Linked DNA regions of Callithrix jacchus. The protein of the gene in region 1 purifies or fractionates together with the protein of each later gene. This does not show direct contact. Links are inferred from orthologs where the notes say so. Each region holds a gene or a part of one and is shown on either strand. Other genes may lie near its edges. The genes, in order: NKAPD1 and CSNK2A2.

Region 1 (3,910 bases):
CTCAGAGGCTGAGGCAGGAGAATCGCTTGAACCTGGGAGATGGAGGTTGTGGTGAGCTGAGAACATACCATTGCACTCCAGCCTGGGCAACAAGAGCGAAACTCCGTCTCAACAACAACAACAACAACAACATGTGTTAATCCACTGTTTATGGTATTGCTATGGCTTTCAGTCAGTAAGTAGTAGGCTATTAGCACTTAAGTTTTGAGGGAGTAAAAAATTATACATGGATTTTTGACTATGCCGGGGGAGGGGGTGGAGGGGGGTGGATGTCCCTAAACCCTGTGTTATTCGATGTCAGCTGAATTAGATTCCATTCTTATCATTATCGTTTAATTAGCCATCAAGTTCTTTGGATTTATCCTAAATTCCTCTTCTTCATCCCTGCTGTCACTAATTTCATGCAAACACTCATCATCTCTCACCTGTATTACTGTAATTACCTCCTAATTAATCTTTCTATTGTTTCTCTCCATCTGATTCATTCCTTACCCAGCTGACAAATCACCTTTCTAAAATATAACTATGATCATGTCACACCCTGTTCAAAAACATTTGATGGCTTCTTTATTGCCTAGAGGAAAAAGTCTTAGCTCCAAACATCACAATCCAACTCTAATTACCACTGAGGCCTTATCTTCTGCTACTAACCCCTACATTCCCTACTTTCTGGATATATAAATTTCTTACCATGCCTCAACTGATTAATGCTCTTTCTCATTGCCATATTAATGTATGATGCTCTCTATCCAGAATGATCTTTCATACCTGTTAAACTTATACCTATTCAAGAACCAGTTCAAATATAAGCAGCTCAAATACCACTCATTCTGTAAAATCTTTTCTAATTCCCCAAGGTAGATTTTATTATTTCCTCCTTAGTGCTCCAAAGCACTTTGCAAATATCTCTGTTATACATCACTGATCAAACTGTATTATAATTATCTATTTTATTCATAATTTTATTTCCCACTTTTACAGAAGTCTCCAAAAACTAGATGACAAGAATATTCTTTGTATCTCCCAGTTGTGCCAAAATAATGTTTGGCACACTGTTTGCCTTCAGTAAGTGTTGAGGAATAACTAGGTTGTACCTCCTACCTTATTGTGAGCATCTGTGTGCCGGATGACATTCCTCAGGAGGACTTTCCCCAGTGGAATCCGGGACATTCTTCAATCTGAAATGAATCAACAAATAATGTTTAGTAATAATTTCTTTAATTATGTCATCTTTTCTTAAACTTTATAAAGAAGCATGAGGTAAAGGAAAGATCACTGAAAACTAGAAGTCAGAGATCCTAAGTTTTCCCTTTACTATTAAAAGAGGGAAATGCCTGAACACACTAATGTGAGATGAAAAAAGATAATGTACATTAAAGTTCTTTGAAAATGCACAAGACTGCATAAAAATAAATGCTTTCATGAGCACTATTTTATTTAATCCTCATAACTCTATTTTGTATGGGGCAAATATCTCCATCCCAATTTTGTAGATGAAGGTCCCTTAAAGCTGTAATATCCCAAGCCACACAGTCCCAGGCAAATGATGTAGGTCAATGTCTAGATTAAAAATCAAACCTCCAATCCCAACATTAGTTTGCAATGAAGCAAATACGTAAATTTGAGAGTGTCAGGAACCGCAGATGTCAACAGTAACAGAAACTAATGACTCAAAACATCAAAGGCAAAGATGTCCCAAATTTCTCCATTTGGGGGCATTTTATTTCCTGCTTGGTATGGAAGCTTCCAAAAACTAGATGACAAGAATATTTTCGTGTGTGGCTAGCAGGGCTTTGTGCAACCATCCCAACGCTCACTCACCCCTTGATCCTGAGGGAATCAGGCATCTTGTTAGTGAGACGAAGAACCACTCCATTACAAGATCTCCTCCGACCCAGGAAGCCAAGGAGTCAGGGCTCAAAGGCAGCTCTGCAGCTTCACCCGAGTCCTTCGTGAAAACGCAGCCTTCCCACTGGTTATTCTGCCCTCACCTGTGGCCCAGGCCTCTGCCGCCCTCAGCCCAGATCCACAGGCAGATTCTCTCTCCCGGACCGAAGCCGGATGCTGAGCCGGCGCGAAATTCGGACGGCCGGGATGACCCGGGCATTCCCCGCTCACGCTCCTCTGGGACGAACCCCGGGGGTAAGTTTCACTCCCCAGAAAAGATGGGAACGCTTTGGATGACTACGGCCTTAGGTTGGGCCCCAGGAAGTATCTAGGGGGCCTGAAGCGGGTGTTGAGGTTTCCAAATGGAAGACAGAGGAAATATCCCCATCTTTGTCATCGGGATCCCTGCCCCTCAGCGGCCTCGGAGCTCCCGGTAACCTTCCCTCCAAATGCCCTCCCCACACAAATACACACAAACACACCCATACCGTGCGCCGCAGCCTCGCGTGGCGGGGGGTAGGGGGGGAAGAAGCGATTTGGGAGAAAAAGGAGACTTCCTTTTCAGGCCGGAAGTCGTTCTCCTGAGAAATCTTCCCACCAACAGGCGGCCCAGAGACTCCCACAAGGGAGGGTTCTCGGGACACTCCAGAGACTAATTGGTGCAGAAGCGTGGCGGGTGCTTGCCTGTAAGGTGCTAGCTTGGCATCAGAAGGGAGACATTCCGGAACTAGATATAAAGAGACTTTTCTGCCTGAAACTCCCCGGACCCAATTAGATGTTGTACCAAGGCTGGTTACCCTGGTAACAGACGTTGCGGTTTGTCAAGGAAGTAAGAGGTGGGTTTGCCAACTTACAGATTACCCGTTAGAACTGAGAGAAGAGGTGGGTTTGCAGACCTATGGAATGATTACCCGTTAGTTAAGTTTGCCATTTAGCGTAACCCTAACATAGTAGTTGAAGAATCTAAACCTCCTCTTTCCTTCATTGTGAAGATGCTGTGGGAGACCTCTCTAATGGAAGAAGAGGCCAAGGAGAGTTATCTGAAGACCTAAAGGGTCCCAGCCTCTCTATTAGCTGACTTAATCCTCGCAATAACCCTATGATATAGGTATTATCATCTTCATTTTGAGCAGAACAAAGAGGCACACACACACACACACACACACACACATATTAATAATTGCTCAAGGTCAACAGCTAGAGACAGAACTAAGACCGGAATCTAGGCATTCTGGCTCGCGAGTCCATGCTTTGAATTACCAAACTATCCTGACGATTAAAGAAGTCTCACGTGGCCCTAACCCAACATAAGATTTCAGAACTGGCAATATTAGAAGTGGCAATTTCAGAACTGGGGAGATACGAGTCAGGTGTTGAAACAAGAAGATCAGGAAACCCAGACTTAAAATGATTACTCTGACTTGTCAGGGTCCAATGTAAGGCCTTATCTGAGAGGACAACATGAGAAGATAGGAGGAGGTACTAGATAATTAAAGAATAAGGAAGACATAAAGTGGTGCTGATCCACCTTTTAGACACAGGTGCTAAGTGCTAACTTCACGAGAACAATTCCTGCCCATTCCGCCTCCCCAAAGCAGAAATAAATCAATAGTTCCACAGACATTTTTCTTCCTGAAGTCATGTCTTTCCACAGGCTTAAGAAACTTATTCACCATTCATCAGTTATGGAAACATCCTCAAAGGGTCTGCTCACCCAAGTTACTCAGTTTTGGAATCTCCTAGATGATCTAGCTGAAAGTGACCCTGAGGGCTATGAGAAGTTTATTCAACAGCAGCTGAAAGAAGGGAAACAGCTCTGTTCTGCCCCAGAACCACAGCTTTGCCTACAGACCAGGATTCTGGTAAGTTGAGTTAGTGCCAGGGATGGGGAGGTCTTGAAATTATCCCAGAATAACCAGGGAATACCTTACACTTAGCTATTGCTACTTTTTTTTTTTTTTTTTTTTTTTTGAGACCGAGTCTTGCTCTGTCACCCAGGCTGGAGTGCAGTGGTACAGTCTTG
Region 2 (3,910 bases), on another chromosome or scaffold:
GGGATTACCTATACAGCTGCCCTAACACACAGAAACAGCTTTTCAATACCACATTCTTAGTCCACAGAACCTCTGCAAAAGGGCCACACTGGAAATCACATGTATACAAAAGTGCTTACATTACTCTTCCATCTTCTCAATCTCTCACTGAATGACACGTGCCCACATGAAATAATCTGGCAATAATGAGGACCCATCAAAGATTCTACCAATTACTTTTTACCACACCCTATAAAACATTATTAAAGCTACACAATTAATCTTTTACCTGAAGGAAAATTTAGCCGACCCTTCATGCTCATTAAAATCATCTTCATCAAAGAGATAACAAAAGCACAGCATTATCAAACTGAGATCGCTAAACCATATGTTAAGAGTTTTGTTCCAGTGATTACTTTAGAAATCATAAGTGAATTCTATATTTTTACTAGCTGATAAGCAACAAAGGCTCTCTGGCTTTCTAACAAGGCTTCTCAGCCCTACTAGTGCACTATATCCACGCCACCTGAAACTTTACTGCCAAAGAAGAAAAAACAAGTGATTATCCACTAAGGAATTTCCTTCAACTTGGGCTCGCAATACATCTCTGAAGTCACTCCAGTTTTGTCCAGCTTTCTTTATGGAATAAGGTAGATCACGCACCAAGAGTAACAAACAGTGCTCAAGGAGACCTGAAATTGAGAATGGCTTTTTGGTCTTTTGAATACCTATTTATTTTCTAACAAATGGAGCCCTTTTGGAATTTCTGCTTTAGGCACCTATAATTTACATTTTAGAACACCTTCCTGAACTTAAGAGTTGGGCTTAGATTTGTGACCAGTCTGCACATTTCCTTGAAAGTTCACAGGAAAATGGGGTGGAAAAAGAAGTAATGAAGGGTCATCAGAGAAGTAAAATTTGAGTGTGGGCTGGGCACAGTGGCTCATGCTTGTAACCCCAGCAACTTTGGGAAGCCTGCAAGGAGTCGTTCTGGAGGACTGCTTGAGCTCAGGAGTTTAAGACCAGCCTGGGCAACATGACCAGACCCTGTCTGTACAAAAAAATTTTTTTAAATAGCTGGGCATGATGGCATGCACCTGTAGTCCCAGCTACTTGGGAGGCTGAGAAGGGAGGATCACTTGAGCCCAGGAGTTGAAGGCTGCAGTGAACCATAATCTGCACTCCAGCCTGGGTTACAGAGTGAGACTCTGACTCTAAATAAGTAATTAAATTCAAGCTTGCACTGCCCATTCTAGAATGTGACTGGGGTAGCTTACATCCTTTTGCCCTGTGGGGGAACAAATGTTATTTATCACTCATAGGACACTCACCTTGAGGATTTTTACAACCACTCTCTCATTGTTGGTGATGTTAATGGCCTCAAATACTTCACTATATTTTCCCCGACCAAGTTTTCGAACCAGTTGGTAATCATCTTGATTACTGTAAAAGGTAAGAGACAGACACACATAAATGCCAGGACTGGGGGTTAGCCAAGCCTATGCCCACTATACACGTCATCCAGCCGCTTCCGCCAGGCAAACACTTGGAAGTGTCTACACATCACGTCACAACTCATTCCCTAAATGAAAGCCACGACGTAATCTTGGCTCCCTTCACTCTGCAGAGCTCCTAACCTAACTGGTCTCTCCTAACTTGGGAAGATGGGGTAGAAAGGCAACGCTCTGAGCCAATCCAGAGGGGCGAACAAAGCACCCGTCCTGAAGGCCTAGAGGGTGCCCCCTCTGCCCCGCGGCTTCACAGCACCTGCTTCCCGTTTCACACCCTGAAGGTAGACAATCCCTGTTTTAAAAATGTGGACGTCTTTAAGAAATTTCCTCCCACTACCTCATCTCAGAAAACCGAAAAGGCAGAGAATTTTAATAGCTCCAGAGGACAGCTGTTGACTTCCCACCCTAGTGGAAACCCAAAAGTGTGAGAAGGGCTGCTCCCTCACTTCCACCCAGCGCCGATCCGTGCACCCCACACTTCTCTCCGAGTAAAAAAATCATTCCTTGGGGGAAAGGGGTGCGCAAAGCGGGGAGAAAGGGACGAAACCGGGGTAAAGGGGAGGGAAGAGGAAGACGAGGACATGTGCGAGAGCGGGACCTCTGTCTCCAGCGGGGCCGCGGAGGGATCGGCGGGAGACACCACCCCGGCCGAGTGCGGGTCGCGGGGGGCGGCCGGGCGGAGACAGGGGTCAGCGGGCCCGGCGGGGGACGGCGGCGGCTTTACCCCCAGCTCGGGACGTGAGACTCGTAGTCCCAGTACTCGCGGCTCCTCAGGCTGTTCACCTCGGCGTAGACCCGGGCCCTGCTGCCCGCGGCCGGGCCGGGCATGGCGGGCGGGACCGGGGGGCGGCGCGGGGCGCAGAGGGTGGCGGCGGCGGCGCGGCGGAGGGCGCGGGGCGGCGGGCGGAGGAGGCGGCTGGCCGCCGGGCTCTGGAGAAGGAGGAGGAGGAGCGCGGTAGCGGGCGGCCGCGCCAGGCCGGGCCCGCGGGGGCGGGCGGGCTGGGGGCGCGGGGGGCGCCGGCCGAGCCGGCCCGGCCCTGGAGCGGCCGGCGGAGCGGCGGGGCGGGCGGCGCTCGCGCTCCGCGGCGGTCTCCGCTCGGCTCGCGGCCCCCAGGAGGCGGCGGCGGCGGCACCGGCAGCGGCAGCCACCGGCCGGGAAAGGGGCAGCGGCGGCAGCAGCGGAGAAGAAGGAGGAGAGGAGGAGGAGGCGGAGGAAACCCGGAAAAGGGGCCGCGCTCACGGGGAGCGGCCGCCGCCCGGCCTGGGGCCGCCCAGGCTCACAGCGCCCCCTGCAGCGCGGGGGGACCCGCCGGGCGGTGCCGACCCCGCCCCGGCCCCACCCCAGCACGCCCCGCCCCCTCCCCCGCGCCCTCCCCCACCTTGGCCCTCCCGCTGCCCCAGGCCGGGCTGTCCAAATCGCCTCACCCTCCGGCTGGCCTTACCTCACGCCACAGGAGCCCCCACTTCCACTGGCCGTTGCCTTAGAACCCTCCCCTTCGAGTCCCGACCCTTTCAAGATTGTCGGTGGAGACCCTGCCCCCAGCTCTGCAGTTGCCCAGCTTTTACCCCCACACACCTCCCATACCCTCTTCTCGCCCAAACTGTCAAGTCTCTCTCCAGGGCCTCGCTCAAACCTCAGAACCTCTCCCACCTCAATACTTCTCCCTTCCCCCGAGACGTACCCCTCCTTCCCCCTCTGGACCCTTCCCTGTTCCCGCAGACTCCTCAGTCCCCAAGACTTCCCACCCTCTTCATTCAGAGTCCTCCTCACAAAACCCTTATACATTTCCCCCAAAAGCCCCTCCAGAGCCTTCCCTGAGAACCCTCTGAATACCCACTTTGGTCACTTGGTTAAGCTGGAGTCGGCCAGGTTGTGCCACCGCAAAGTTACAATTTTTCCCTTTGTGATTAGTAAGTCGCTTGTGGGGAGAGACGTTGAGAGTCTGTAAATCTCCTGTTTTTGTTGAGGAGGAGGGAGAGCAGGAGAATGTAAATTTGACCTGAAGGGACAGACTGAGATTGGGTATGCACCGGGATGGGTGGCCAGCTGAGCTGGCCTGGCTTCCAGTGTTGCCTGCGGCCCTGGACACTCCTCTCTTTTGACATTCTAGGCCCTTCTTCTGACTTTCTTTCTCATCCAGCATCCTTTCGCGACACAACCTCTTCACCCAGTCCAGGTTGCTCTGATTCCAATCCCTTTTCACATTCTGTTTTCTGGATGAAACTCTGGGCCTTCCTCCTTGACAAAGCTAAGAGCACAGACTGTGGAGTCAGATCTATCCAGTACTGCTGCTTACAAGCTGTGTGACCTTGGGCCAATTATTCAACCTCTCTGTTTCACAGATTCTACAGCATAAAATCAGTAATAGCACCCACTTCACAGGGCTGCAAGGAGAACTAAACAAAATAAACCATGTGAA

The links.
Region 2: the proteins of NKAPD1 (region 1) and CSNK2A2 purify together in Homo sapiens (affinity purification with mass spectrometry; 5 studies listed by BioGRID and IntAct, counting the BioPlex papers as one, with this or other methods). This does not show direct contact. The link is inferred for Callithrix jacchus from reciprocal best matches to the Homo sapiens genes NKAPD1 and CSNK2A2.

The regions. Positions count from the first base shown.
Region 1 is NC_133511.1:11,776,479-11,780,388, reverse strand, and holds the start of NKAPD1 (uncharacterized protein NKAPD1), read right to left. Parts: upstream 2,471-3,910; 5' UTR 2,376-2,470; exon of another isoform or gene 1,822-2,375; intron 1,179-1,821; 5' UTR 1,171-1,178; coding exon 1,102-1,170; intron 1-1,101. Other genes in the region: PIH1D2 (PIH1 domain-containing protein 2), read left to right, coding at 3,573-3,749.
Region 2 is NC_133521.1:16,079,498-16,083,407, forward strand, and holds the start of CSNK2A2 (casein kinase II subunit alpha'), read right to left. Parts: upstream 2,689-3,910; 5' UTR 2,319-2,688; coding exon 2,215-2,318; intron 1,772-2,214; exon of another isoform or gene 1,598-1,771; intron 1,423-1,597; coding exon 1,311-1,422; intron 1-1,310.